Astyanax mexicanus: one gene and its partner. The protein of the gene in region 2 interacts with the protein of the main gene of each other region in a pairwise test. Links are inferred from orthologs where the notes say so. Each region holds a gene or a part of one and is shown on either strand. Other genes may lie near its edges. The genes, in order: gtf2a1 and nfyal.

What was found.
Region 1: the proteins of nfyal (region 2) and gtf2a1 interact in binary tests that used the Homo sapiens proteins (3 or more experiments, as listed by UniProt). The two-hybrid records come from large-scale screens. The link is inferred for Astyanax mexicanus from reciprocal best matches to the Homo sapiens genes NFYA and GTF2A1.

What each region holds. Positions count from the first base shown.
Region 1 is NC_064408.1:88,789,870-88,806,802, forward strand, and holds the start of gtf2a1 (transcription initiation factor IIA subunit 1), read right to left. Parts: upstream 7,145-16,933; 5' UTR 6,925-7,144; coding exon 6,895-6,924; intron 5,680-6,894; coding exon 5,578-5,679; intron 4,401-5,577; coding exon 4,247-4,400; intron 4,069-4,246; coding exon 4,004-4,068; intron 3,810-4,003; coding exon 3,725-3,809; intron 3,004-3,724; coding exon 2,870-3,003; intron 1,122-2,869; coding exon 1,020-1,121; intron 842-1,019; coding exon 554-841; intron 192-553; coding exon 102-191; intron 1-101. Other genes in the region: ches1 (checkpoint suppressor 1), read right to left, coding at 16,057-16,495. UniProt on the Homo sapiens protein: TFIIA is a component of the transcription machinery of RNA polymerase II and plays an important role in transcriptional activation. TFIIA in a complex with TBP mediates transcriptional activity.
Region 2 is NC_064419.1:41,608,952-41,625,218, reverse strand, and holds the start of nfyal (nuclear transcription factor Y, alpha, like), read left to right. Parts: upstream 1-7,745; 5' UTR 7,746-7,877; exon of another isoform or gene 7,878-7,948; intron 7,949-10,825; 5' UTR 10,826-10,847; coding exon 10,848-10,922; intron 10,923-12,018; coding exon 12,019-12,105; intron 12,106-14,373; coding exon 14,374-14,520; intron 14,521-15,336; coding exon 15,337-15,468; intron 15,469-16,267. Other genes in the region: ngrn (neugrin), read right to left, coding at 575-1,193, 2,440-2,550, 2,644-2,867. UniProt on the Homo sapiens protein: Component of the sequence-specific heterotrimeric transcription factor (NF-Y) which specifically recognizes a 5'-CCAAT-3' box motif found in the promoters of its target genes.

The DNA of each region.
Region 1 (16,933 bases), on a different chromosome or scaffold from region 2:
AAACTTGTGTCAAGAATACACCACCATCCTAAAATCAACTGATGGTGACGATACATTTTGGAGTTAGGGTTCTTCTGTAATAGGGACCCAAGTATACACACCTTATCGTACTGACACACCACCACATTCTCTGTATCAAACAGTTCCTGGTCCTCCTCGTCACTCACATCATCGCCACTGTTAAGAGGCTCCTGTAAGGACAGGGATGGTTAAAGCACAAACACAACTACTATGTTCAGTTTGAGCTCAAACCCAACATATGCACACTGCTCCATGATATATATATATATATATATATATATATATATATATATATATATATATATATATATATATATATATATAAAAAAAATAAACGTTTAAAAATTATGAACATATTATTAGTGATGTTGTCATGTGAAAGCATGATCATCCAATCAAACAAACCAGTGAATTACTGCCCATTTTGAAGCTTAATCAAAGCAACCCAACTGAATGTGCTCATTTCTGTATTACAACTGACTATTGTTGTAAAGATGTCTAGAAGTGTGCAGATATAAACAATGATACAGACCTCCTCCACCTGGCCGTCCTCCGCACCATCTTTATCCTTGTCTTCATCTTCGTCCTCATCGTACTCGTCCTCTTCTTCCTCATCCTCCTCAGAGGATGTGTCTCCAGCCCCATCCACCTGCAGCATCATGGGTGGCTGTTGCTGGGCAGCCTGCTGCGGCTGGGTTTGCGGCTGTGGTTGCTGCACTGGTTGCTGCTGTTGAGACTGTACTTGAGGCTGAGGCTGGCCTTGGGCCTGGATCTGTGCAGCTCCCTGACCTGCCTGCGCAGCCATGGCTGCTTGCATGACCTGAACCAAAATCACAAGGTAAGTAACTACACAATCCAATTAATTACATGTTCAGATAAAGGTACATTTTTAAAGGATTAGGCGATAAGAACAATAAAAATGCAATAATGAGCCAAGATAAAGGCATGCACAAAAAACAAACAATAAAAAAAGGTGCGGTGTGCCTTGCTATGCTGACCTGAGCATTCTGTTGCACTTTGTTCCCTGTGAGGACTATCTGCTGCGGCTGGATGATTACTCCCGTCTGCTGAGGGAGGCCACCCTGCAGAGGAGCCAGGACCTAAACAGATACAAAACAAAGAGGAGATTTGTTAGTGTTGTTTCTCCATTAGCAGCATACTAATGAACTTAATGTCTTTATTCTTATTAGACACTCAGTCACACGTTACTGCTTGTAATGAATAGTATCTATATCTATAGGCCATAGTATTAACCACTGGGAATGTGAAGATGCCATACACTTAAACCTTTTAACTTTGGTCTAGATAGCTTTACCATCACAATCAATTTGACAGTTAATTGTCAAAATTAGCATCATGCTGGCACTGCTGTAAATTAAATGTTTAATAAATAACACTAAACCGAAATTAAAAATGGTCTCCAAACACCTCGATCACTTTCTGAAGTGGCTGCTGTTGTATGCTTTATTTAAGCAATAGAACACGAGAGGGAGTGTGTTATCACGAATTATGAACATATATTATTAGTAAATCATAATACACAAACAGGGTAAACCTATCTGTAATGATACGTGATAACACACGACCTCGAGTGTTCTATTGCTTTTATACAACAGTTTTTTTTTTTTTACAAAATGAATAAAGAAAATAAATCAAAGATCTTTAAGAAATTAGGAGTGAATATGCTTTAATATGGACTGTGCCTTCCGCCAAAAAGTAGTCCACAAAAACTAACAGAACTGAAACTGAACTACAAAACGGTGTATGGTTCATACAGACTAACACCACGAAAGTCAAAATTGGGAATAAGCGAAGATGGTAAACGTTAGGAGCGTGAAGTAACGCTAATACTCTCCTCTCCTGCTCCGTTGAGTCGTCTTCAGGTGAACGCTGTGCATTTTTTGAGCATTTCTGCTTGTTTTGCTGGGTGGTGTTGGTTTTAGCTAGCCGGCTGGACGGTGGTTAGGTTAGCGTAGCTTGCTTTAGCTTAGCATAAACTTAGCTTAGTCTAGCCTGGCTGGTTAGCGTTCTGGCTCTCAGACGGCATTAACCGAGCGATTTCCTTTCCCTTTTTTCCCCATGAAAGGCGAGCCAGCGCTGCGGGCGAGCGTGCCCCGGCTGAGCGTTAGCCTGTGCTAAGCTAACGCTGCTGCGGGTGCCCTGTGTGTATATGCCGTTACTCGGCAACGCGTCCGCGGAGTGATACAGGTTTAGTGTGAGAAGGCCGTGATGTTATCACATATATCAAAACGGCTAGATCACTTCTCAACCAATCAGATTGTGAGGTCGGAACTAACTGTTGTATAAAAGATGAATAATTGCGTACACAAACACAAATAGATGAAATGTAAGGTAAACTCTGAATATTGCAATAATACAGCAAACATGGCAGTAGCTTAGACTATTCTGGGGCGTTATGTCTTGAGTTTGCTAGGAAAGTCTCCCAAAATTGCAACACTTTTCTAGCTGCCCAATTACCTGATTTATCAGATTATTTATTGGAACAGCTGGAATGGCAAACTCAGCAATGTAACAGTGTGCATACCTCACAGTACCATCCTGCTCACTTGGTCATGATCAAGTAAAACAAACCTTGTGTGAAGCTCACCATTTCTTGAACAGTTGTGTTTTTACACTACGTGTACTATGTACACTCAAATGTATATATTTTTTTTATTAAATGTTATCAGTTGATCAATATCATAATAGTATATTTAACCACTTATCAATTGTTGAAAGTGTTGAAATTTGTTTTTATTAAGGCATTAAAACAAGATTAATACAAACATCAAAAAGTCTAGTGTCTTAACATATATTTTCTTGCCTGTGAGATTTGGTTAAATTTTACCTGCTGAATAACGGGGGCCTGCACTCCACCCGGCTGCATCTGGGGCAGGACCTGCTGCTGGACCATGATGGGCTGCTGAGGCTGGATGATGTACTGAGCTCCATTAGCCGCCCTCACCACCTGCAGGATTTGACCTGGATACCAACCAGTCACAATTTAATCCAGCTTATTCTGCAAGTCAACAATCCAATTACCCCATCTAACACTCTAAACAAGACCTGAGCATGTATATAGAGACAGGATGGACATGTGCAAGGACATCATTTTGAAAATTGTCCAACTAAAAATAAACAAATACGTCCAAGTATAGCCCATTTTAATAGTCCTATTGGGGGTACAGTACTAATTTACAACAATATAGTCTTCAAACAAATTAAGAGAAAGCTAATATTGTTAAACTAATAAGGATTTTACTGTGACAGCATATCTCAGTCTTAAATGTTTACAGACTAGATGAAAATCTTAACAGTGCAAGACCTTGTGTTTGAATGCCCACTGACATTGAGCTGTACTTCCTTCATAGTTGAATGTACTGGCTGGACCCCAAAAAATACCAGATTAACCGGTAACAGTGTAAAATCATGTAATGTAGCTCAGATGAAATTTTTCATTAAGAGTATTATAGTTTTGTTAAGAAATCCACGTGTAGATGAAAGAGATAGATGGATAAAATTATCAGGAGAGCCTAAAAGCAATACAAATTCTCACATTGCTATTTTTAAAGAAGGCTTTCGCAGTTTATTTGGCCAGCCAAAAAAAAAAAAAAAAAAAACTTATCATAATACACTACACACACTACTAATCTAAATGTTAATTTAATGTTAATCTAAAAAGTAATACATCAGATGTTCTCACCCTGACTTGTGATGAGCTGCTGGTAGGGCCCTACACCTGCTACTCCGGTAGGCAACGCCAAGGTTGCCGCTGTGGCAGCTGCGCTCTTAACATTGATCATAGAAAATGTATTTAATTTAAAACACGAAACAAAAAGTCACATTAATCTCACTAAACAGAAAATAAAATAGCAGAGTAAGACACCAATATTTTTTCAAAGTGACACCTGCTGTAATCTGGTACAGTTAGCATGAGTTCCAGAAACTGAAACTTTATTCTCATCGGCAAGGATATACTTACCATGCCGGTCGCACCCATGTGCTGCAGGATTTTGGAATCCTGTACAATCACCTGCTGTTGTGGTGCTGTTTGTGGGGAAAGCAAGTTCTTGTTTTAGTAGTATTCCATATTAATTTGCGTTATTGTATTATATTAAAATAAATAAAGCGTTTTTGTAGAGAAGCTTCAAACTAATAAAAAAAAAAAAAGAAAAAAAAAAAGGTCATTCAACTGTAAAGGTGTACAAGTACATGTTGTTCTGACCTTGCTGGGCCGGTGGCAGGAGAACTTGTTGTGGCTGACTGGGCTGCTGGGTCTGCTGAACCTGTTGGACCTGCTGTTGCACCTGCAGAGCACCCTGCTCTTCAGTGTGGAAGCCGTCCACAGCCTTCGACTGCATCAGCTTACTCTCCCACAGCTGCAACACAACAGCGGATCAATAGCGCAGGTCACATTTAATCACATAACTGTTATTGATCAGGCCACAGTTGAGGGTTACACCAATGACTCAAGGAGGCATCAGTCAGCACTATTTAGATATTTGATTGAGAAAGCTGAATCAGCACTGGTGATCAAGGAAGCATTTCTCAGGTCTAGTAACCACAGCACAAAAAGCCATTAAAGGGCACGACTGGAGACAACCGGACCCTTATTCATTTTACAAATTTATATATTTTTTTATTTATTACTTAGTTATTGATAAATGATTTATACTTTTTTTACTTTAAACAAGTCACAGTCATTACGTCATAAGTTAAATATACAATCCGTACAACAACGAACAAGCTTAAGGGTATGATTTTTTTTAATCGCACACTTCACTGTATACTGGTTTGATTAGTCCAGACTAATGCGTAGGAGTATATGGATGCCTGATATCAAAATCTATATCAGTATATATATATATCTATAAATACAAAACGATAAAATATATTTGACTACCCACTGTAAATAATAGTTTAAAACAAACATCCTTCATTTTGACTTTATTGGTTGCCTTCAGAGTGGCGCTGGCTTGACTGAACCCTATAGAATACTAATTTAACTAGATTATTATTTTATGTAATATCACTTTAACCGCAATCAACATTCTTCTTTCCACCATTCAGTGATGGCTGTCTATTTATAGGAAAACAAATAGAGTTTCACTATTCTCTCAGCACATCCTGAAACAATCATTAAAATAGCAAAACAATTTGGGGGGTTTTCAATGTGTGTACAATATAGGTTTGTATGTGTACACTGGGGCTGCAACTAATGATTATTTTGGTAGTCGACTAATCTGATTGTTTTTTCGATTAGTCGAGTAGTCAGCTATTATTCCTGATGATGTTTAAGAATGGAAAGTGCTGATATTTAGTGTTTAAATATGTAATTTGTTGTGTTTTGGCACCTTTGGAGACACTTTGTGTATGTGGTACAGTTACAAATGAACAATTAGTCGACAATGAAATATGTAGTCTGCAAAGTTAAAATGAATTTATATTGACCAATAGTTGCAGCCCTAGTGTACACAAAAAAATAAAATAAGTGACAATTTGAACAGCTTCTTAAAATGTTTTGTGGCCTTTTCAGATAAAGGTAAGCTCATTTACCGTTTTGAGCTCCATAAGGACCTGCTCATCCACACCCTCATCCAGGAATAGCTCTCGGACCTCATTGATCACATCTTCCATCACACTTCTGTAGAGTTTAGGCTGGAGAGGGAGCATCATTAAAGGCAGATGAATACATACTAAACTACCATAGAGTTTCTTCTTTTTTTTGTACAATCGGTTTGCACAGTATTCAATTAAGTGCAATATAATCATAATAATAATAAATAATAATAATCAACGCATGGCCCATAATGATTTAAAATAAGCCTAAACAGATGAATAGCAGGTGTCAGGAACAGGCAGAGGGTTATGGAGAGAGCGAGAGCTATAGCCCCACAGTGTCCAGTCCCTGATGTCCTAGTCTGGTCTCCCTCCCTTCCTCCGTCCGTCGTGCTATTTAAAGCTCCGGCGGTGACGTGGCGCGGAGTTGCGCCTTCCCATCCCGGTCTGGGTGGATATTAGAGCGGCCGCGGGGCCGTATATAACCCGGGCTGCTCGGGAGGGAGGGTCAGAGGAGCGCAGGAGCGAGGCTAGTGCTAACTAACTGCAGCGCGGAGTGGCTCCCTCTCTCTGAGCTTACTGGAATTTACCCCGTTCCACCTTAAATCCTGCAGCGGATACAGTCTGGCGCCTGAACAGCACCGGAATGTTAGCGCTGCGGGATTTAAGGTGGAACGGTAGAATTCCAATAAAAAGCTAACTTTAATCATATCGCCTGACTTGGTTGGAGAGAGTTAGCTGGAGATGAATGAGAGTAGAGTGTACAGGAGGTGCAGCTTTTTAAAAAATGATACAAAGCCAGAATTAAACCTAAAATATGAGTATTGGGGCTTTGTAAGTTATATATACACAGCTCGGAGTAACAGCAGCACACGGACAATGACAGTTAGTTATCGTTAAATACAAAGAGAGAGTATCCCAGTAAACCTGTAGATAAACTAAGACAACGCACGTTATTATAGCACTGTTAATGCAGCACTATCTGTAATATATAATATATAACAGTAATCTTATAGTAGTTAGTAACTAATATATACATATATATCACACTCCAGCAGTAGTAGTTGTAGTGCGGGGCTGCTTTGTGAGCCCCGCCTGCAGAGAGACAGGACTTAACATGGCCGATTTCGTGTGCCTAACACTTTTTATTAGAGGGAAGGCCGAGCATGGGCTGGGTTTCCACACCCGCTCGCGCAGGTCACACTGCCCCGCTCTCACGCGCTGCTGCTGCTTTCTGTTCACCGCTTTTGGGCACTCCACGCCCTCGTGCCTGCTCACTGCCCTCGCCTCGTTCTCTCTGATTCGGGTTCTTACCACCGGGTTAGAGTTAGCCGAGCTCGCCATTACCGCGGGCGGAGCGCCAGACACGCCGCGCTGCTGCAGCTCTGATTAAACTACACCCGAGCGGTCGCGCGCCCCGCAGCTGCCCGCATAAGGTGTGTAGGTGAAGCCGCGCGCTGTCCGGTGGGCTGCGTGAGCTCGGTATATAAGCTATATCAGCGCGCGGGTCCCGGGCTCCGTCCCCCGCCGTCTCGCCGCCGCCGTCGTGCTGCTTTATACACACAGCCAGGCTGCTGCGCATGCGTCAAATAGCTAGCTCGCCTGCGTCACGGTATCGCGAGACCGCCAGGCACGAGACAGGACCCGGATCACAGAGAAAGAGGCGGGGGAGGCGCTTAAAAAGAATTAGTACATTTATAAAACTACGTTATTTTCTATTTTTTTATTACCAAAATATGCATAGAGGGGTAATATATATATATATATATATATATATATATATATATATTTACACATAATTTTTAACTGGAGATAAAGCCAGTAGATAAATCAAATTATTATATATATATAACAAAATTGGTGCTGGTGATGATTAATTTGATTATAATTATTATATTATATTATATTACATTTACATAATAACAAAATTACCAAACATAGTTAAATATCGTATAATACAGCAAAATTAAAATAGAATTCTACAGCAGAACAATAGTTTTAAGCTCCCTGGTAAATGATGTACTGTAAGCAATACATAAAAAAAAAACCTTACACCTTACCACAAGTTCTCTATTAGATTTAAAGTGCATTATATAGGACCGCAGGACTGGATAACAGTGATAATCCATTTAACACTCTTTTAATACATTTAATCTAACCAATATTAATAATAACTGCATTCCACCACACGAGGGCAGCAGACTGTGTATGTGTGTGTGTGTTTGTGTGTGTGTGATCAGTGGAAAAATGACCCCATCTGCAAAGTTATGCTGTTTTTAAAGTTTTATTCAAATGTTGAAATGACATAAATTGATATACGTTTGCTTTCAAAGTCAAAATAAGTAAATCTTCAAACAGCAAATTTAAATGCCATTTTATTCACATTTTAAACACTATATTTATTTATTTGTTGAATTAAGCATAATGGAAAGATGGAATATGTATGAAATATGAATATATTTAATATGCTATTATGTAATGATTTGTATTGTTTTTGCACTGTGTTAATTTAAACAAGAAAATCGTATTTAATAATAATATTAATGCATGTCTTATTAGTCCCACATTGTAGTTAATTAGCCTCTGCCTTTAACCCATTTGTGCAGTGAACACACATATACACACTAGTGAAAACACACAGTGATATTGTTGAACATATATCCGGAGCTATCAGGGAACAGTGAGGGTTAAGAGCCTTGCTCAAGGGCCCAACAGTGGCAGCCTGCCAAACCCAGGAGTCGATGGCCCACTGGCCCAGTACTTTAACCGTTGAGCCACCACTGCCAATTTAAGCTATAGAAGGAGCAGAAGTTACTCTCAAATATATCATAGTTGCTGATGGATTAACGTTGTATTAAAACATTTGAAAATAGACCCTCTTCATTATTCTATTCACTTTGTGCAATATACAAGAGCTGTGTTTTTGGGTCGAATGCTTTACTCCTCTAAACATACCTGAACATACCAAACAAATACAATTTTCTGAAAAAATCATCTGAAAAAAATTCTCTAGAACAGAAACTGTAAATAATACAACATGACATAAACTGTCAATCATGAACAAATTTAAAGAGAGAATAGTAAAGAGAATAGTTATATAGATTTACAGGGACACAAATGATTATGAGTTGGCAAGGATGCAATGATATGAAAGCAGGAGGTAGGGCATTACAGTCAGGTGACCCAATATATTCAATGTGAGCGTATTGTGATGTCATACAGTTTAAAAAAATAAAATCCCTCCTGTGGTTCCATAGCAACAGAGTGCTGCTGCTTGTGCAAAGGCTCAGAGAGGGGTCTGGTCATTAGGGCTGTGTGTGTTTAATTATGAATGACCCTCAGCTGTCACACTTCACTACACTCACCCTAAAGTCTGAGACCTCTGTTCACTCAAGTCTTTAAGAACTGCAGCCATATTCAGAAACAACTGTATATACTCAGCCTTTACAGAGATTAATAATACGGTAGATTTAATTCGCTACTGTACATAAATACTAAAATGTTGTATCTTCTGGGGTATTATTTATTATTTTATCATTTTTATAAATGTTAGAAATTATTCCAAACCCACATTATCACTAAAGCCAGAGCGGTAGATGATCTGCACTGTCACCGGGTTAGATTAAGCTACTCATCATTGAGCAAATCAATCGATCATGTTGATGAGGTCTTATAAGAAGACCTCACTGCTCCTGTTCTGCCTTTCATTCTGAGAACTTTCCACTGCTTTCTGTAATAACTACACAACACAATACTGTACTTTTACACTCAGTACTTTAGTTTAACATTTTACTATAAACTACTTGCAATACTTATACACAAAAACTGTTGAATATTTTAGTACTTCCCCTTAAGGGTGGAGCTTAAAAAATACTTCAAATTTAACTTCTCCTCAAATAACTTTTTTGATAGAGCACTTGTACTTTTACTCAGGTCTAGGTCTCTACTTCTTTATACATGTCAAAACAGCAGACTGAGGCTCGACAAAAGGCAGCCAATCAGAACAGGGCGTTAATTTAGCAGGTGAAATACACAGAATAATACCATACTAATTTGTTTTCGTACTAACAGGAAGCAAAGAGAGTTGCTATTTCAATCTACACAACCTAAACATCCACTATGGATATTTGAGTATACTAAACGTTGATACTTTTATCTATGCTACATACTTCATACTCAAATCTATTTAGAAGTACCCAATTGGAACATATCCTTTGTGAGCTAATGCAGAGTTTCAACACTGTTCCTTTAAAACTCTGCAGTGAAGTCATTTTCCTGTGGTGTGTGTGTAGAGTACACACACTCTGAGCTGATAATTGTTGTTTGTGAGCTGCTTGTGTGTAATAACTGTTTTTAGTGTGGGTGAATACTCTGTGATGCCATGTTTCTTAAAACTGCTTTAGTTTTAGCATTAACTGCTCCTCTATCTTGTGCTTATGCTGCAGTTCAGTGGCAGACTGAACCTAGGCAATTAAAGCACAATATTTCCTCTGTTTTTGTTTTATAAGCCATAATTTGAGAATGGAAGATGTGGTGGGATGTTTGGTTTAATGTAGATTTACATGTTCTTTTCGGATACACCATCACTGCATGTAGCATGTGATTAAATAAGATCAGCACGTTCTTGTTTATTGACCCCGTGTTGTGTAACAACAATGGATTTTGGGCATTTAAAGTAAAGCAGATTTAGAAAACTGGCATCAACTCAGATTACTTTAAATAACCAATTACTAACAATTAGCTACTTTTTTGTCCTTTGCTCATAAATGTTATAGGCTTGTCATGAACTTGTAAAATGTTTTACAGTATAGTATTGCATATTTACAGTACAAATTTCCATCAAGTGTAAAGCAATAATTTTAATACCATTGAAAGAAATTTTGCACAAAAAAATCCCTTTAAAACGGATCCTTTATTATTGCAACTGGAAGACAATACATTACATAAACATTGTATGTAATTCTCAAGTGAAACAAATGATTGTAAAGACATGACATTGTTTTTTTCATTACCTAAGAGAGTGTGAAGTTATTTACAGGTAGTCATGAACGTGTTCTTTGGCAGTCATGATTGCACATTGAGAAAATTGGCAGATTTACTTTGCATGGGATTGCTATCTGAGTATTGGACACAAATACCATGTAAAGACAAGTGTCAACAACACAAGACACATATCACTATTCTATTAGTGGTGGTTTAAAAACTTGCAGAGAGTTGAAACAAAAAACGAAACTTAAAAACCTTTCCTGAACCTCATGCACACTTCTGCTTGAGTCATGTTGGCATTAGTTACAAACTCGACTCAAGAGCTGAATTTGTGTGTGTCTTATTAAGTGTCGTATTAACAGCAGGCTATGCTCATATACACAGTGTGTTACATATTGTGGTGTGGATTAAATCTCAAAGATCAAAACTCAGCAGCATGTTAACCTTTAGAAGACAAGAAGAGTGCTGTTATATTACAATGCAATTAGTGAGTTATTTAATGATTTGTTTTAACATTCGGAATGCTTTTACAGGGAGCAGCCTACAATTCTGATTTTTTTCTGTTTTGATGCCACAAATGGTACAAATAGTGGATGGATTCACAGTTTACAATCTGCACTTTCTACACAGAAAACCTTTCTGGGTCAGAAAACCTTTATATAAAACTACATGACTTTACTATTGATGATGGTAACTGTGGCTTCCAAAGGTATATATATGCTATAACATATACTGCCAGCAGAGAGTATTATTATTATTAAAGGTGAATTTCATGGCACAGAAAGCTTATTCTGGGCCATGTAAAGTGGGATTGTGTTGAGATGAATGAAGCTATAATGACATTCATCAAATGTGTTACTTATTCCAACAGCAGGATTACAATATGTGATATTTTTCATGCATAAATGCCACACGTCCAAACACTTTTAGTGTTGCTTCTGAAATCAAGGGTATTAACAGGATGTTTGTGATCAATTGCTGCACTAACAGCCTTTAGTATTCTGGGAAGACTTCACATTAGCTGTTGGAATACTGTATATGAGGAGGATTCGATTTGACTGCATTCAGCCCCAAGAGTAAGAGCATCAGTGAGGACAGTTACTGACGGTGGATTCACAGTTGTTCCACTCCAGCTTCAATATTAAAAGAACACATTTTCACTCCTCCACAGCCCAGTGCTGGTGGGCTTTATACCCTGTCAGCCCATGCTTTGCACTAGGCATGGTGACCTTATGGTTATATGTGCTCATGACTGCTCCAGAGTGTCCCCTTTTAATTGGTCAATGCTGTGCTATGTAGATCACACTGTGTGTGAATGTCAGCAATGTGACTGAACTCTATTATTAGAGTGGGCTGTAATGATACTTTTGGACATGTCAAATATATGGTAATAATTGGGATTAGATACACTGATATGATCCTGATGTCATCATGCATCCTTATTACAAACGTTTAATGCCAACTTGATTGTATTAATTAAAGGGCCCATATCTTTTCTCTGTATCATGAATGGGTGTGGCTAAACAGCTACAGTTTTATTGGTTTGATTTAGGTTAAGATTTTGTTTCATTTTTTTGTGCCATCTGATTTTTTAGATTTGTATTCCATATATAATCTGTTTGGACTAAGAGGCTTTGAAACTTCAGCAATGTTTTCATATAATATTATATTAACAAATGTCAGAAACATCCTGATATGGGCCCATTAATCTGATTTAAACTACCCACACCAATACAAAAATAAAATCAAATAAAAAATAAAACCATATAAAGACAGTTGAGCACACATAGTGAAGGCAGGCACAAGCTTAAAGGGTGTAAAGAGTGAAAACTCACTCAACACTGATTCTCTACAATATCTGGACAACAACACTGACAATTTGTGGACCACCAAAACTGAGGATCGCAAACAAACAGCATCGGTTTCACCTGAAGCCCAAATAAAAATCCTGAGCTCCAGAGAGTTAAAATCCATAAAGTATCTTCTGTTAGAAGAGTCGTCTGCAGAAAAGATACACCATCCGTACAGCAACGGGATAAAAAAATGAGAGAAAAACCTCTAATGTTCTACCGTCGTAGGAAAATAAGTCATGCTTCATGCTAAATACATCAGCTATCATACGTTAATCTTTGAGTATGGTGGATTAAAAATACCTTCTTATTTACAAGCACCCATGCAGTATAACTGAGAAAACGTACGGCTAAATTATATGCTTAAATAAAAAAATAATAATAAAATAGTCATAATAAAATTCTGATCTTTTTTACACTTATCCAAAATTGCAAATTATCCATTATTATCCAAAATGATGTTGTTCTAGAAAACAATATAAATCAAATAAATCAAGTAAAAACAGACTGGTACGTTTTGATATTGTAACACAATAGGCATTGCTTCATATAATACACATATTTGTATTAAGTGTGCTTCAGTTATGAATTCACTCTAGATGTTTACATCACACTTGGCAGAAAGGGTTCATATATTGCATCTGATTTTGCATTTTTAACATGCGCTGGAAACATTAAAAAATATCACCTGCTCTTTAGCTAAATGTCTGAATGGAAGATTTGCCAGTTTCTTTTTTGTTATGTAAAATGAGAAAATGGCTAATTTCAGGAGTGCACAGCCCATAATTCATAATTACAGCTATTGTAACTTTAAGATTAAAGTACGTTACTGTTACTGAATATGTTCGCTACTCCCTCTCTAAATCAGCTCAAAACAAACTGAGTACATTCATGTTCATGATGTTTACAGCTGTTTTTCCATTTTTCACATGAAGGCTAGCACTTGATTCCTCTGTTTTACATGAAACTCCATCAAACCTTTTCAAAACTTGCTGGAATTGGGGAGTGGTTAAATTGTAATGTGAGCACAAAAAATGTGGAGCTTTAGAGAGAAGGGGAGAACAGTGGTCCAGTCTGTTCACTGCTTATTAGTTAGCTTAGCTAACACTGGGAGCATTTAGCAAGGCTCAATGCCACCCACACACACACACACACACACACACACTGAAATTTGTACTTGCAATGGGTATAATTATATATTTATCTGCCCTGCTCATTTCCACGTCCTCTAACGTACACGCAGCACTATTAGCTGTGGTTTCTCACTTTTGACTAAGACCTTTACTGTGTTAGTCCCTGTTTTAGAGGCTCAAATGCTAAAGCCTCCTAAACTTGGCAACTGCAGTGAAACATGGATTTCTTCATGGTGGCAAGATGTTTATGCCCTGTGTTATAAAATCCAATGGGATTTCAGGTGTGTTCAGTCCCATCCACAAAGGATTGGTGTGGCTGCAGATTTTTATTGTAAACCATCATCAGCAGACCGGATTGCACCTGTTTAATCAGGTGGTCAGTCACCTTATATGTAGCGGCGTGCTTCTGCTTGGCTGGAATGAAAACCTGCAGTCACACCGGCCCTTTGCTGACAAGATTGGTTAAGTCTGTTCTATTCAAACAGGTTTAAATGCATTAGTGTCGTGGGATAATTTGTGTTCACATGAGCTCGTCTATGATCTAATTTTTATCTGGATCGGCTTTAATTTTAGCTTTTCACTGAACTAGTCTGACCATTTTAGTCCCATCCAAACTCAAGGCTCTCTTCCTAGGCAGGTGTTTTATGCTGTGTTTTATGCCGTGTCCACAGAGATTAAACACATTGCTTATTGCAAATCAAAAACTTTCCAAAATGGAAACTTTCTAAACAGTAAACTTTATGAACAGAAAACCAATCAAACCAATCAAATCCGGAGTTTTCTGACTGCGGAGATGTGTAAAATTATTTTTAGTTTTACAGACGCGTAAAACTAATCCAGTCCCTTTGGGAACTTCAGATGAATCATTGGAACTATGAAAATGTTTCCATTTGGTAGCAAAATGTTTGGCAGACATTAGAGGCTGAGGCAGGCTTACTGCGCACTAGGATCACTTACAGCTCAGCATGGAGAAACAGCGCTCCTCAGAATATTAGGATATCCAGCTTAGTAAAAAATACTGATGTACTGTGTAGCCTTGGCTTCTGCTCAGCTAATCTTAGTTACTTATTTTACAGGTTTCATTAAAGAGCTGTGCACCCCTGAAAAAGAGAAACAACAAGTCATATCAACATGATGAGAACAATGAACACAGGAAACACACAGGCTGTTTTAACATCACTGTTTTGTGAGTTAGTCTTCTGATTAAACGTGAGGATTAGCTTGCACTCATTTTAAAAGGAATTATCTTTGGCACTTCCCAAAGTAAGAGCAGCAGGTTGTAGAGATATCATGGGCTGTTTTCACACATACTCCAAACCCGAGTTCTTTTTTTTTTTGCTTTAAACAAAAAATGACTTAAATCTACTTTATTTCCAAAGTCTTCTTGTTAGTTTGCTCTGGAGCTTGGGTGATAAAGAGGCTCATCTGCATGTAAACATCCCACAGTACATAAATTGCAAGAAATTCATGGAATTGTGCATGATGAGGGACAATAATAAACAATATAACAAGGGCAGTTAATCTGATAACAGTTTTATACAATACAATTTGTACTGTTTGACATTTAGAAACACTAAACACTTCTGTTTCATGTCTCTCCGCTATTCCACTGTAATTAGGCCACAAATTCTGTTTTAAATACCCATGGGCCGGCAGATCTGTCTCCCACAGGCCGGTCTGTTGCCTCTGTAGTCACGATCAGCGCCTAAGGGAACACAGTCATGTTCACACTCGCAGGTAAAACATCTGCTTACATATGGACTGAGGCAGTGCTTCCCAACCCTTTTACATATTTTAATGATTTCCTGCAGTTACACACCGTATGAGGTATAATTATTAAATTATCAAGTTTGACTACAGGAATGTATATTTTAAATGCTTTATGAATGTGTTGTATTTCAGTCAGCAGTAGAATAATCACTAAAAACAAATCAACACAAATTTAAAGGCAATCTTTGTAATGAGATGAAATAATAGTTATTTAAGTAGAGCTACACACTCGCTATTCTGGTAGACCTACAGACTTGAAGTCCAGTAAAAGTCAGGCTAAAACAAGCACAATTGCCAGGGGTAAATAGTGCTGCTTCACAAAATATGTTTTTTACTTTTTATGTATAAATATGCTGTTGAAGTGTTTTTATAGAACTTCAAACTCAGGTTTGCAGACATGTGAAAACAGCCTAAGTCTACACTGTCTCTTTACTGGTGAAAGAATTTTGACATCGTCTGTGTTAGTCAGCCATGTGATAAGCGGAAACTGAAAATCATCACACCTTAATGACTTTCACTATGGCTTATATCCCTTTACTCGAGTGCACAAGAAACCAACTGAGGCGTGAGCAACACCCGTTAAAAAAATAGTGCTTGAACACAAGTAAAACGCTGATTTCTGGTCAATATTGCCATGTATGAATTCACCTGACATCATAAAAAAGGAAGTGCGGGAGCTGTTGAGGAGGAAGAACAGGCTAGCAAGAATAGTATCGCTCGACCTCCTGCAAGTCTTGCTAGTCTTTCTCCGGTTCTCTCGGCTCCCGCTGGACTCTGGAGGCATTCTGACTGCTCTTATTCTGACAGGCTTGTACTCCGGCCAGATGAAGCAGTGAGCCCGCAGCCTCCTTCATCTCCTCGTCCTCTGCGTCACCGGCCAGACGTTTCTCTGTTCGTCTCTTCTTCAGAGGGAGAGTGTCGCCCGGTTTTGAAAGGCGGCTTTTGGTGCAGTTTGTTGCTTTGCTGAGGGGCTGCTGAGAGGCCGGAGCGATGGCGCTCAGGGGGAAGTCTCTGGGCTCCGGCTTGAGCTCTGGAACTCTGCTGATGACCTCCCGGCTTTGGCTGCAGAGGAGATGGACGCTGTTTCGGGGACTGGAAGAAGATCTGTGCTCCACTGGTGGATCATCGGTGGGTAAACTGCTTTTCTCTCGGGTCAAATAATCACTCAGGACTGATCTAATAATAGAAACACGCACACAGGTTAGTGAGAACTTTAAAATGTATGATCTCATAACATTAATGAACCTATACTGCATGTGTGGGTTACTCCACTTTTACAGCTGTGCTACATTTGATGTGATTAGGGTAGCACATAGACAGTGGGGGTGGTTATTAGCTCCATTTAATTTCATAATTTCCATGTACTTCACTATATTGATTTCTGTGACTGATTTATGTTTTCTGAGATGTTTTGAATTCTAAAGTTTTTAATTTTACTGAATATTACTGAGGAAAAGAAGAACTATTATATTACCATTTTAGTCATCAACACGCAGGTGGTATGTGATTTTTTTTTAGAATGATGTGTATTGCAGATTGTAATTCTTGTAGGCTGCCATCCAAAACACACCCTCCTACACTGAATAGTGAGTAAAAATGAGTGTACTCTTTTGT
Region 2 (16,267 bases):
GTTTGATTTTGAAACTTGTTAAACATTTTATTCAAAAGGCATACAAACATTATCACCAACACAACGCACTTTAACAAATTATAGAAAGCGATTTTATTGGTGTTTATCAAGTAACAAACTGCTAGGGGTTTCCTTATCCTAGTATTTATATATATTTTTGTATATAATTTTATTTCAATTCCCCCCCCCCCCCCATTTTCTCCCTAATTTACACATCCAATTACCCAACTCACTCATTAGGACTCCCCTTATTACTAGTGATGCCCCAACACCATGAGGGTGAATCTCTCCTCCGATACATATTAAGTCAGACTCCGCCTCTTTTCAAACTGCTGCTGATTGCTGTAGCATTGCCGAGTAGCATCACAGTGCGCTCGGAGGAAAGTGCAGCGAATCCGTTCTGATACACTAGCTCACAGACGTCTTGTGCTGATCGACATCACCCTTTTAGAGTGATGTGGGGAGCAAGCGCCATCTACTGTAGCCACCCAGAAAGAGCAAAGCCAATTTGGCTCGCTCAGGGCTCTGGTAGCTGATGGCAAGCTACATGAACAGGATTCATGGATTCTTATCCTTATATTCTGTACAGAAAGTTGCCTTGACTGTCAAAAAACTCCCTGCCTTTCTGTTCCACTGCACTGGGCTTTTCCTGCAGTGTATGAATGAGTTCCTCCAGTTCTGTGTCCGTGAGGAACACTCTATCAGAGTTCGATTCGTACTCAGTCTCTGAAATCTTTGCTTCTTCAGCCTCCATTTGCTCCTGATTTTCATTGGGCTGTTGCTGTAATGCACTCTGCTTCACAGATGGGAAAAGTGATATTTGAGATGTTCCTCTCGTCAGTGATGTATGTTCACCACCAGAGGGAACCAGTCCAGTCTCAAACTCTGCTGGTACCTGTGCTTCAGGGCTCAGAGCAGTCAAAGCACCAGTGTTGCCTGAGGAAAGCATGGGTGGCACAGAGCCGTCTGGCGTAGGCAGTCTGATCTGGCCCTTTTTGGACAGGTCAGTTTGTCCGTCTCTGAGAGAAAGAGGTTTGACTGTAGCCAACGCTTTCAAGTCCTGTTTAATCTTTCTTCCTGGAGGAGGAGTGAACTTGCTGCGGAGGATTCTGGAGATGGTGTCGGGACTGACTGAGAAACCTTCTGCTAATCTCTGCACGGTCCATTCCTGCGGAGACTCCTGCTTTAGGTATCTGTGAATAGATAACCATCAAGTCAATAATAGTATAAATATTCTCTTATATTCTGTAGACTTAACATTTTGGATGCAAGTGGGAGTCCCAGGCACTTTCCAAAAAAAAAAAAAAAACAAACAAACAAAAAAAAAAACTCATTTAGTTAATTGTATACTTTACTGTAACAATATTATCTTTATTCAAAATCATAAGTAAAATAATAGAAACTGAAGTAAAAAAAAAAAAGTAAAAAAAACCTCACATTTAAAACTACTTAAAATGTATTTCCCCCCTATCATGACTGAACCTAAATATTGTGTTATTTTTATTAAGGTGCTGAGATTTTCACAGTGAACACAACTGAAATGTCCACTGATATGGACACCAATACATTCTTGCAAGCACTTGGATCGTACATGGAACCACTCAGTAAACATATTGTGCATCATCTAAACCACCTAGCAGCACCTTATAAACTGCTTAGCCACACTTTAGCAATCAACCATTTACTACAGCAACTTCACGGTAACATTGTAGCAACCAACAGCTACAGTAGAGCAACACCTTAGCAACCACCTAGAAATACAATAGCATCCAGCTAACAACCACTTAACACCAAACCTTCCCACAGCAACTGCCTACAAATCCCTTAGTGACTGATTGATACAGCAAGGTGTAAGCTAATCAACCAACCTGTTATTATAGCAACTGAATAGAAATACCATAGCATCCAGCTAGCAACAACATAGCAACCAATCAACTACAGTAAAGACAACTTATCAACCACCTAGCAATACCATAGCATCCAGCAAGCAACAAACACCTTTCCATATCAACCGCCTAGCAATCCTGTAGCAACCAAAAGCTACAGCATAGCAACCACTTAGCAACCAACATTTTACAATAGAAACTGCATTTACCTTAGCAAACAACAGCTACAATATTGAAACACCTTAGCAACCACCTAGGAACACCAAAGCATCCAGCTAGCACAAACTAAGCAACACAATAGCAACCAGGTTTATGAATGTGTGACTGGACAGTTTGACCAGGTGATTCAGGACTCATTTCATGTCTTTTAAAAAGCGTTCAAAGAGCAATAAGAAATGTATAAACACAGAGATTAGATTTTTTTTTTTAAATATCAACAGTTACTGCAGTCAAAAAAGTGACAGTATTGGAGGTTTTCTGTTCTCTCATTATTCCACTATAACAGGGTGAATATGGTTTCCCATTTAAGGTCAGCTTCAAAAAACGAAAGTACCTTATCTGCTCAATTGCATCCCAGGTCAGTCTCCTCTCAGGGGCTCCACGCTCACTCATCTGCCTCCTGATCTTGTGAAATTTGGTAGCGTTTCTTATTCTTCGCTCCTCCCTGCAGAGAAACCAGCCGTCAACCACCTCAACCTAACAGTGAAACCAGACAAGCTGCTGATCCACAAATTCATGAATTCATGCTCTGACTTACTTTTCAAGCAACCCCAGTTTGGCTTCAACAGGATCTGTATCAAGCTCCTCCTCATAAGCATCCTCCTCCCTTCTTCTTCCTCTGTTGTCTGCAGCTGACAGCCTCCCAGCAGAGTTCATCCACATGCGGGCATCATGGCTGGCGTGGCATTGAACTGGTGCAATTCCAGGTCCTGGAAAAGCAGCGAGCTTCATCCAGCGGACCAGCCTCAAAGAGCTGAGCATGCTGACCAGTGGACAAGAGTGTCCTTGTACTGAATGTGATGGTGACCTAATTTATTAAAAATAAATAATATTATTATTATTATTACACGCCTGCTGAAAAATCCAACTCAAGACTAGATATAGCTGGTAGCTGGTTTCAGACAGTCCAAGCTGGTCTTTAAAAGGTGGCTATGCTAATTTTCAGGAATATACTATTGCAACAAAACAGTAATACATATACAAGTTCTATTTAAGCCGGTTACGATAAGTACATTAATCGACTTGTACAATAAATAAACATTAACTCAACTCAATTATAATCATGAGTTACATACATTCAGATGAAATAAAAAATGTTTGTATAAAATAATTATGTAACAAAATACAACATATAACAAACAATTATGTAAAAGTAATGTAACAACAAAAATCTACCACAAAAATAAAGTGTAGAATGTTTAGTGCTGTATATAAACAATGCAGACATTAAAAATAAACACAGTAAATAACCAAATAAATACAAAATAGAATCATTTTAAGAATATTGTGATATCACAATATGGATTTCTTTATCGTATAGAATTTTAGTCAATATTACTGCATACGATACGATATGGCACACCCCTAATCACAATGTCAGTGTTTTTCAGTACCGTGCAGCTCTATTATCTAAACACTATTATAAAAGACTAGAAGACTAAACTCTTAAATCAGACTCTCTCCCTCATTGGCATTACTCTGAAATACTGAACATCTAACAAAGTATGAATATTTCTCCTAAATTCCCAATAAAATATTGTCATATTGTCGAAATAGCAAAAAAAAATGCAGAGTTCAGAAATCAATATTTGGTGAAATAACCCTGGTTTGTAATCACAGCTTTCATGCATCTTGGCACGTTCTCCTTCACCAGTCTTACACACTGCTTTTGGATAATTTTATGCCACTCCTGGTGCAAAAATTCAAGCAGTTCAATTTGGTTTGACGGCTTGTGATCATCCATCTTCCTTTTGGTTGTAAGAAAGAAACACATAATTTTAAGTGCTTTCTAATTTTTTCAAGAGCTGTATAATTTTTATTATTAAGGTAGACAAGGTATCTTATTTGGTCATATATTTAAAATATCCAGTAATACTGTTGTACGAATATAATTAAAGTATAAATATGGCTTGGTTATTTCTTAATTTTTGTAATTCCTCGTACCACCTTAAAAAGGAGCCACTGTTACTGTAAATAGCTCAGTATCTGTCAGTTAAGTTAGTGCTGCGCTGTTTAAGGTGGACCGGGTCATTTAATTGAAAAAGCCATGCTCAGCCTCTTCACACGGCTCACCACCGCAAGATAACCCGCTGTAGACTGAATTATCAGCTCTAAATAAGGTGTTAAAAATAAAGGGCGTTACCTGTCCTGAGCCCGCGCTCTATACTGAGAGATAAGTTATTATAACTCGATAAAATCTTGTATCTAACTCCAAAAACCCGCAGCTCAGCAACCGCACTGAAGTCTTCTTCTTCTTCTTTAGGCAGACCTATACATTACTTACAGGTTCATTACCGCCCCCTGCTGATCTGGAATGTGAAGCAGGATTTTTGGATCGTCAACTGAAATTACTAGTGAATCTAAAAAAAAATTAGAATATCATTGAAAAGTTGCTTTATTTCTGTAATTCAGTTCAAAATGTGAAACTCATATATTATATAGAATTATTACTCGCAGAATGATCTATTTTTTATCATTAATTTATTTTATTTTGATGATTACGGCTTACAGCCAGTGTAAATCCAAAAATCAGTTTCTCCGAAAATTAGAATTTTGACAAACATACCAATTGGTACTTCTGGTAGTATGGGCAGTGTGCCAAGTCCTGCTGAAAAATGAAATCCACATCGCCATAAAATTTTTCAGCAGAGGGAAGCATTAAGTGCTGTAAGATTTTGCGGGAAAACAAAACTGCACTGACTTTTGTACTGACTTGATATAACACAGTGGATCAACACCAGCAGATTACATGGCTCTCCAAATTATCACTGAATATCAGTCTATTTTTGCATTTTATTTGAAAATCAAGAGACCAGAGTCTGTCAATCTGAATTATCATTTAGAACAAATAAATTAAATTACATTAGACATAAAAAGTAAATTAGATAGAATCTGCTGTAAGAATACATATATTCGCTACAAGAGCCAAATTATTTTAAACACTAAACAGTTTGGAGTGTTTTTAAAGAATCTACATTTATATATAATGGGTGATTCTCACGAAAAACAGATTTAAAAGGGTTCACACTTGAAAAATTTCAAAAGGCATTTAAATATAAAATTTCTTTTTGTTATGCAAGACTAGGGTCTGAACTTTTTAGAAATACTTTTTTTTTTTAATTTTATAATTTTTTTCTGTATATTTTGCACCATTTTAGTCAGTCAGAGCACACACATTCTCAGTACCGCAACATGATAACACAGAACAGATATGGTTTAAAAGTTACACATTTGTTACTTTTTAAATAGATATTATTAACAGTTGTGCTCATATGTGTATATAACCCAGAAAATATTATATTTATAAGTTTCCCATTTTTTTTTATTTTATGATTTGTCTCATTACCGCAACAGATTTCATGATTCATGTCCTGTCTTTTCAGGATATTTAACTGAAAAATTACATGTATAATTTCTTATTTAGTACAGATGACCTATGAAGAAATACAATTTATCCAAATACCATTATAAACTAGAATTTGTTTTATAACAGTAAAATAATTAGTAAATAAATATGTGTTGCGGTAAAGAGAATGGTGTTTCGGTAAAGAGAGTCAATGTTTCGGTAAAGAGAGTCATTACAAGGATTCCTACTTAATTAACAATAACACTTTACACAACAAACACAGAGTGTGAATGCTGTGAATAAATAACAAATTCTAATGATGTACTTCTTGAGTTTTGTATGGAGTAGTAATATTGAACAAAATGTGGTATTTGCTGTTGAAAATTAATCTCAGTAAGACTCAAGCTGTGAAAATATCCTATTTTGAACTGTGTATTTTAATAAAACAAATTTCAACATACCTCATTAGACATAAATTCCTTAAAACTTTAAACATCACTGTATAACTAAATTGAAATGGAATGTTTAAATACAAAATAAGTAATTCAACATCTCATAAAACAACTTTTTTATTAAGTATTAATTTCATGACAGATATAAACATCAATGTACAACTAAATTGAAATTAAATATTTAAGTATGAAACAAGCAATTCAACATCTCATTAAACATCTTTGTATTAAGCATTAATCTCATGAAAAATGTAAACATCAATGTGCAACTAAATTAAAATTAAAGATAAAATTAAAGAAAGTTGTTTAATGAAATGTATATATGTGTGTATATATATAATTTTCATATATATAATATATACATTTCATGAAACAACTTTTATTGTTATAAACTGTTAATAAAGGTTGTTTCATAAAATGTGTATATATATATATATATATATATATATATATATATATATATATATATATATATATATATATATACATATAAACAGTTTATAACAATAAAAGTTTATAAAAATAAATTTCATGAAACAACCTTTATTAACAGTTTATAACAATAAAAGTTGTTTCATGAAATGTATATATTATATATATGAAAATTATATATTATATATATATATATATATATATATATATATATATATATATATATATATATATATATATATATTATTTTTATATATTATTTTTTATATCTTATGCGGAAGTTATATGGGTGTCACTGCCCTGCTACATAAATCTGTTTTTTATCTGAAATTGCATCATGTATTGTTTTATATATTGTTTATTATAAGTAAATAAAGGCTTTTTTATGAAACAATATATATATATATATATATATATATATATAAGTTCATGTCACTTAAAACATTAATTTCTCTTTACCGCAACAGTGAATCTCTCTACCGCAACAGGCCTTAAATTGTTGCGGTGTATGAGAAGGCTGTTGCGGAGTATGAGGGACCTTAACCTTCTTTGATCTCTGTGGGGCCACCATGATGCCTGGCTAAACTTTTGCTAGCTTTTTGTATTTAGACTTTAAAAACCTTAAAAATTCCCAAAACACAATAACATTTTCATTTTTTTAAACATTAAAAACTAGCTGTTTCGGTAATGAGAAACAAAAAGTTGTGTATGCTCGCTGACAACCAAGTTTTTAACATTTATCTGGAGAGGTATAAAATTAGGTGCTTACCTGGTAGCCATCTTGGGTGTCATACTAAAAGGTGTCCCCCCTCTCAAAATGGCTGTTTTTTTTTCTGTTCCTTGTGGTCTTAAATGGTGCTTGAAAATTGTTGCGGAGGCTGAGAACATTGGTTCTGACCAAAGTTATTTTTCTAAATATTTTCTTTTCTTTTACCAATGAATTCCAAGTAATACATTTTTATTGACTGTAACAATTTACTTTATGAGATACATTTAAGTTTTTTATTATTTATTTATTTTAAATATTAAAATTGTGTAATTGAAGAGCCGAGATTCAGCAATGGACGCGTTGCGGTACTGAGAATTTCACACTAAATTATAAAAAATACATAATTTAAAATATCACAATGTCTACTTTTAATCACTTCCAATATAGCCTTTGATGAGATGTTTATAAACCAGTGTTTCCCAAATTGATAGCATTTACCTGTTCATCACACTCCTTAATGCCACCTCATTAGTCTGATTTCGTGAGAATCACCCTAATACGTAGCCAAAATAGTAACGTTATTAAGTATTTCAATTGTTATTAAGCCCCATCTCTCATTTCCCACACTTAATGCGCGCTCCCGCTGCGCACGCGCCCCCCTCCCATGCGCGTCACCTCTGCGTGCCTGCGCGCGCCGCCTCCTCCTCCTCCCTCCTTGAAGCTCCTGCCCCCCGCGCGCCTCATTTGCGCCATTTTGTGGGAGAGCGGTGGTGATTGGGTTTCTGCGCGCCGTACTGGAGCCAATCAGAGGGACACCGGACAACAGAGACACGGTAAAGAGCGCGCGGCTCCCGGGCGGCGGAGCTGACAGCGGGGATTGGTTTATCAGTGACCAACCAAATGAGTAAATGTGCTAAATACTGAGATCAGCCCGGCGCTGCGAGAGCAGGGCGGCCGGCGGCTCGGAGACACTAACGCGGCTAAAATGGAGGGTTTAGCGCTGGAGCTCCAGCAGCCCGCAGACAAAGGAGCTTAGCTAGCCTAGCTTAGCCTGGCGAGCTGCCTGCCTGTCTAGCCCGGGCTGCAGCCCGCTTACTGCGGCGGGCCGGGGGGCGAGTGCGCCCCTGCGCGTTATTAGCTAACCTAGCTTAACTAGATATTCAGTCGGTCTGAGAGGGAAAAATATAAAAAATAAGATACAAAAACTACAAAAAATCTCTCACTTCACCCAGCTAACGGACCTGTTTAGTGTGCTGTCTGAAATTAGCATGGTTAGCTCAAGTAGCTTCAAAAACAACAGCCTGTTTAGCTAGCTAAGCTAACTCTAGCTAACATAAACATGACCTAACCTCAGAGCACAGCTAACAAATAACTTAGATAGGTTAGTTAACTGCCTGACCTTAACATGTACTTTACCTTTAAATGTAATTAAAAAACGTTACCTTTTATAATTTGTTCATATCTAACCCTAGCTTGTTTTTGAACTCTGAAATTGAGCTGCAAATCTAAACTGAAACCAAGCACTATGAAAGAAATGGTTTTACCTATTGAGAATACTGCTAGCTAAGTTACCTTTAAAAGGTAAGGTAAATGTTAAGGTTAGCCAGCTAGCTATCCTAATTACAAGCTGTGTTTTAAGGTTATATCATGTTTGTGTTATTCTGTAAGTCTGAATCCCTCCAGAGGCTCTATATTAAAATGATAGCAGGCGTCCCACCTCTCCTGTGAATTCAATGATTATCACAAATACTAAAAAAACAGTTGCTCAGTGAGGCTCACAAATCATATAGCTAAAAGATCCTGCAAATTATGACATTTTATACCAGGTCCTTTTGGGAACAATAAAGCAAGAGCATCCTAATTGGTCTGTCTTTGTGCTCACTAGACTTAGCAGTAGGGGTGGGCAATATTATATCGTATACAATATATCGTGACACAGAAATATCGTGATATTAAAAATCCATATTGTGATAATAGAGATGTTCTGTCTTAAAAGTAGTCTATTTACTGTGAAGCTTTAGGTTTATTTATTGTATAATTGTTTTAGTTTGTAGTTTATATGCATGCACTAAATATTCTGCAATATTATTTGCTGCATTATATTATTTTATGCTATGTTATTTATTTTGCCACATTATGATTATGCTGTTATACTATTATACTATATTTCTGAAATTAATTAATTATTTTTCTGTTTTCCTATATCGCCAAGTATATCGTTATCGCAAAAATACCCTGAAATATCGTGATATTATTTTAGAGCCATATCGCCCACCCCTATACTAGACAGATATAATCTGGCTCTAGTAGATATATAATGGGAAATGAGAAATGAATGTGAATTTTTATTTAGCTAAAAACAACAAAAAAGTGGTACTTTGATGTGCTAATAAGGTGTAGGTGATATGGCACAATATTTCAGGGTATAATATCGTTCACGATATTCAACATTTTTGGCGATATTATCACGTACGATACGATATGGCACACCCCTACTGCTAAGTATACTGAGCACAAAGATCGAGCAATCGGGATGCTCTTGCAATATTGTTCTCAAGAAGTACTATACTATACAAGGTCCTATTTTGCAGAATGTTGTAGTTATATTATTTGCGAGCCCAAACAGAGCCTCAGTGTTTGTGAGAATCATGGACTTGCAAACAAACAAACTAGGGTAGGATAGCTGGCTAAACTTTAACATTTTACCTGGTAAAGTACATTTTATAATTTGTTATAATTGATTTGCTGCCAGTTTATTGAGCTCTTGCAGCTTCATTCAACAGTGGTAGCTACAAGTCCCAATTCAGTTTTTACTTTATAGGTCTCATGTAAAACGTTTTACTAATGAAAACTTAATTTTTTATGAAGCCCATAAGTCCCCATGACTTAATTCTTGTTCCCATGCCTTAAGTTGTGGGCATGCATTAAGATCTTGTTCCCACTATATTTATTAAGTCACAATATTACTGTGTCATGATATATTGTGTATGTTATGCAGCATACCCATAAAGACTCACAGTAAACAATAGACTGTTTTCAAAGCAGAACGCTTCTGTTACCCTACTGTGGATATTTCTTAAAGTCACAATGTTACTAGCACGATGTATTGTGTATGATATGCTATGACACACCCCTACTACAGATTAACAAAGCCATTCTGATTAATGTGATTATCTTTTAATGTGATTTTGACTAGTCATTTGTGGGGTTAATTTTCTAATTAGCATCTGAAAAATAAATTTGCCAATTCATGCAATGCACATTTTACCACTAAAAGGTAGGGATGCACTGATGTAGGAATTCTGGGCTAATGCCAATATCTAATATTACATACTTACATATCTTCCTAAACTGATATACACATTTTACACTCACAAAGAGACTAGACACCCCAGTATAACTTCTTATATAATAAATGAAACAATTATATACCTTGCATTTTAGCTTTCAATCTTTCAAACTCCATACAAACAATATAATGAAAGGTTTCTCCTGTAAAATACTGATGTAATTCTGATGTCATTGTGCATCCCTAGTAAAAGCTTAGCTAAACTAGTTAGAATGTGATGTCATTTGAAGTCATTTTGGGCTGAAAGCTGGTCATAGACCAGCCATTTCCAGATAAGATTGGTCACCCCTGATAAAAAAAATACAGCTCTCAAATTGCATTTGTACTCGTTTATTGCCGTTTTATTGATATAATATACATATTTACATCTATTATTTAGTTATAATGGATATATGCTAAAAAAAAAAAAAAAAAAATGCGTTCTCTCTCTAGGCTGGTAAAATTTGGGAGTAAAATGGAGCAGTACAACTCCACGACAGGTGGGGAGCAGATAGTAGTCCAGTCAGCTAATGGGCAAGTCCAACAGCAGGTAAGCTCTTTTTGAGGTTGTTTATGGTCTTTGTGTGATGTTTTTTTTTTTGTTTAACAGGACAGAAGCTGTGAATTTGTCTTGTATGAACTCTTTATTTTAAAGATGTTTATATTCCTGTGTGCATTTTTGACCTAGAAAGGAATTGGTTTGAGTGGTGTTAATATTTTGCATGATACATTTTTGCTTAATCCTGTAGCACACCTTTTCCCCAACTAATATATTTACAACCAGAGTTTTGCTCACAATCACGGACATCCCAACCCGCAAAAACTCAGTATATTGAGGTAGCATCAAGCCACATATATTTATTATTGTAATTTCTAGCTATGTTTATTAATATGTAAACAGCTGTGAAAGTAGCATATGCAATTGTACCATATTATTATACTATATTAAATTATTTTTCTGCTTATAGATTTATATATATATATATATATATATATATATATATATATATATATATATATATATATATATATATATATATATATATATATATATATTTATTTATTTATTATGTTCTATTCTATTATAGTCCTTTGGCCTCACTCATTGTGTATGACAGCAATAGAGGAGCACATCTAGCAGCTAATATACAGCTCTGAAAAAGAGAGTCCACTTCAGTTTCTGAATCAGTTTCTCTGATTTTGCTATTTATAGGTATATTATATATATTTGGTGGAATAACCCTGGTTTTTAATCACAGTTTTCATGCATCCTGGCATGTTCTCCTCCACCAGTCTTACACACTGCTTTTGGATAACGTTTATAAAGTTTGATGGCTTGTGATCATCCATCTTCCTCTTGATTATATTCCAGAGGTTTTCACTTTGGTAAAATCAAAGAAACACATCGTTTTAAGTGGTCTCTTATTTTTTGCTGGATATAAGGTATTCACAGGAGAGGTGGGATGTCTGCAATCACTTTAATGTAGAGCCACTAGCAGAATTCAGACTGAGCCATTTCACCTGGAAAAACAGGTTTACAAATGTCACTGTGCCAAGTTACAACTGCAACACTGTTGAAAACAGCTACAAGTGGTATTTATGAGGAGTTAATTAGCAGTTATATGGTTATATGGGCTTATTCACAGGCACAGGGCACAGTTACAGCTGTACAGCTGCAGACCGAAGCGCCTGTCGCTACAGCGGCGGGTCAGCAAGTGCAGACCCTCCAGGTAGTTGTGAGAACTCTGAGATTTTTCCAGTCTTATTCTGTCGCATGCAGCTTGTGTCTGTGGTGCTGTGCGTGAGCTGACCAGCATGCATTGCTTCAGTTTGAAAATGGGCCAGGGTGGAGTTTCCAAATCAATGTGACTTTGTAAAGTGCTATATTTTACTGTATATCATACATTAGATTCAGCACTTTTGGAAATTCCACCCTGGATCTGTTCATTGGGTCATGTATTTTATGATTTGTATTTAATTATTTTGTCATTTATTTGGCTTTTTATTATGGGTCTTTTAGTATATTATATCAGAGTAGCTGTGTTCCAAAGCCAAGGCTGCAGTCAAGAAAGATTTGATTTTTCCTCTGCTATGTTGTTGAAGGCTGCCGAAGCCCTGAGAGAGGACCATTGCCCTTGCTCTCTCTGGGTGATAGATGGTGCTCTCTCCCCTCTTCACTCCAAAGGGTGATGTCGATCAGCACAAGGCGTCTGTGAGCTGATGTAAGCGCTTTATTCTGAGTGGCTGTAATGCTACTGGGCAATGCTACATCAGCAGAAGCTGTAAAAGAGGTGGTGGTTGACTTCACTTGTATCAGAGGAGGCATGTGCTAGTCTTAACCCTTGTGGTGTTGGGACATCACTAGTGATGGGTGGAGTCTTAATGGTGGGTTGGGTAATTGGCCTTGTAAATTGGGGTGATTTTAAGGGCCCAAATGATGTAATGTTTCGTCTAGGGTTTTTCATCAGCATCAGTATCTCTTAGCACGCTTAGTATTAGTTAACGTCACTTAGTATTGGTACTCCCACTTCACAAACTGTTTTTTTTCCCAGCTGACAGATATGAGCTTTATAGGACTAGGATAGTAACTTTATCTGCTTTTGGTTTATTTTTAAATTTTAAGACACTTTAATTTAATGTAGTACCACTAGAAATGCTGCCTTATAGCTAGGTCTGTCACGATAATTACATTATCGATTTATCGTACAATAAATGGACATGACCTCAGTAATATTTGATAATCGTTATATCTATTGTGTTTAACTTCTACGGGCCTATTATGGCAGTAGGTGAAGGGGAACTAAGTGTATATTTCCCGAACTGTATGTCAGTGACATTTAATTGTCCTAAAATGACAATAATATCGTTTATCGCAACATTTTCTAGGACAATGTATCGCCCACTAAAAATTGGCATTGTGACATGTCTACTTGCAGCACCAATATCTCCTTTTTATCCCTTGCATACCCACAATGTTATGGGGGAGAAAAAAGAAATACAGCACTATGAGCATTGGGAAAAAAATTGAAAATGTATCTTTTTAAGCTTTTTGAATTGTTGAAAATTATTCAATTATTATTATTATTATTATTATTATTCATTGAAGAAAAAAAATGTCTTTTGTGTCACAGTGTCTCCACATTTGCATGTGGTGTCACCACAAATCCTTGTTTAACTGTGACCAATGAGCTACTGAAAAAGAGTCTTCATAAGAGAATCCTACCTCAAATTCAGCCTAGGCTTTGGAACACAGCAGGTTCACAAAGGCAGTCTTCGAGAGTCCTCTATTTTCATTGTTGAGCCTTTATTTTTTTATGTTTTCATACATTGCATGCTGCTTCATCTGCAACATGAGCGGTTTCATGCCTTGTGTGGTCGTATGTAAACTGTGGAAGAGCACGAGTGAATTGTATGTGCCCATGATCCCACAGTGAATTTGCATTGTACAGATTTCTAATGCATCGTGTTCAGCATGTTCTTCTAATATTGACGTGTTTGACTCATACATGTGATCAGTGCAGCCTTTCGCTCAGTCAACATTATCAGCCCAGTCCACTTCATCGCTTATGATGCTTGCTTATAGCTAGAGAGAGCAATTCTTTTATTGCTTTATTATAAAATAAGTGGATCAGTATTATTGCATTTTCAGTTCCCGGGCATGGATTAAACCTATTCATAGACTGTATTTTCCTTTCACCAGAAAGTCAAAATTAAAAAAAAAAAAACCTGTGCAGTCCAAGACTAGGCTTAATCTATGTCTGTGAAACTGCTCCATAGTTTTTTGACTTGTTTAAGATTTTAGCTGTGGATTGGTCTGATAACCTCTGTTTAAAACTGATGCTCAGTATGTATTTAACTGGCTGTCAGCAGCCTGAAGCTAAAGCTGCATGCAGATACCATCTGTCGCTGCTGGTGATTTTTTTTTTTTTCTTCTTCTTTTTATTTTTATTACGAGTTTAGCACCAAACTAACTGTGAATGGCTTTCTTCCTTTGTGTGTAGGTCCAAGGGCAGCCCCTGATGGTGCAGGTCAGTGGAGGTCAGCTCATCACCTCCACTGGGCAGCCCATTATGGTGCAGGCCATGTCTGGAGGCCAGGGCCAGACCATTATGCAAGTGCCCGTCTCTGGAGCTCAGGGCCTGCAGCAGGTATGAATTCACACAGGGTTGTGTATCGTTAGTTTGAACATATGATAAAATTTTTATGTCTTAAAGACGTGACGGTTGTCCTGTAAATGAAATGTAAGCAGAAATATTGAGCAAATTAACTTTTCATATACAGCTCTAGAAACATTTGAAACACCTCAGTTGTCTGAATCAGTTTCTTTGGTTTTGCTTTTTATAGGTATATATTTGAGTAAAATTAACATTATTATTTTATTCTATAAACTGCAGACAAGATTTATCCCAAATTCCAAATCGAAATGTTGTCATTTAGAGCATTTATTTGCAGAAAAAGAAAAATGGCCAAAATAATAAAGGTACAGTGCTTTTAGACCTCAAATAATGATAAAAAACCAAGTTCATATTCATAAGAGTTCTTAAGAGTTCAGAAATCAATATTTGGTGAAATACTCCTCCACCAGTCTTACACACTGCTTTTGGAAAAATTCAAGCAGTTCAGCTTGGTTTGATTATGTTCCAGAGGTTTTTAATTAGGTCAAATCATCAAATTTTGCTATTAAAATGAGGATAATACAAGAATTTTCACCAGAAGGGACCAATCATGTCAGGATCATAATGATGTATTCAAAAAACAAGCATGATGTGTTTGATTTATTTGATATTTTAAGTTGGACAATATGACTGGTTGCTTTTGTGCATATTGCAGTGAGCTTTAAATAATGGGATTTTTCGTTCAGCGCTTGTTGGACTTCAAGAATACTACACTACAGATGCAATAATCTAGTTTAGTCACATCTTTTTATTAATATAGTGTTTTTGTCCTGTTTGTTCTGCCTTCAGATCCAGTTGGTGCAGCCTGGACAGATCCAGCTGCAGGGGGGTCAGACACTGCAGTTGCAGGGACAGCAAGGCCAGGCTCAGCAGATCATCATCCAGCAGCCCCAGACTGCTATCACTGCCGGACAGAACCAGGTAAGTGCACAATTGCAAAATGATGGGAATGGCACGCTAGGGATTGGCATGCAGTTTCTTGATCAGGCAAGCACACCCCACACTTAAACCAGTGAGAGTCCATAAGCGAGACTCGTAGTGTGATTTTTACACTGGAATTGTTGGACCAGAGTCCGAACCAAGGGTTGTATGTTTTTTTTCCATGCATACAAATTGGACCATGGCTCAGTTAATTCAAACTGACACTACCTCTTCTGGTCAGACCCAGGTCCAATCCCATATTACCCCTTAGCCCTACCACTGAGTACCCTTTTTGTTTTTCTTCATAACAAGCATAAAATGCAAATTGCAAGTACAGACAGCAAGATGAATGCAGTATAAATACAGTATTGATTTGTTGGCATTTCAAGTTGCTGCAGCCAAAGACTGAAAATATAAAAAAATGATAATTATATTTCCAAGTCAGCTTTTAAGAAATCTATCACAGAAATTTGATTGTGAAATGTTGTCACAGGCCTGATGATTTTCTGATGTTTCCGTCGTTGTCTATATTACTTTAAGTCTTTTTGTCTCTTGCCAGGCTGCCATTGTAAATAAGAAACAGTTCTTAATGGTTTGCATGATTAAATAAAAAATAAATAACAAATAAATAGAGGCTGCAGCATTCCATAAAACAGAAAAATAAAATAAAAGCTAATTGCTGCACCAACTGCCCACTTTTTGAAGACATGGAATGCTCAAAGGTTAGCTATTTAGTTAACCAGCATGTTATATATCTGTATCGTTTTTTTAAAAAGTGGTCACAATTCTTACGTATTTC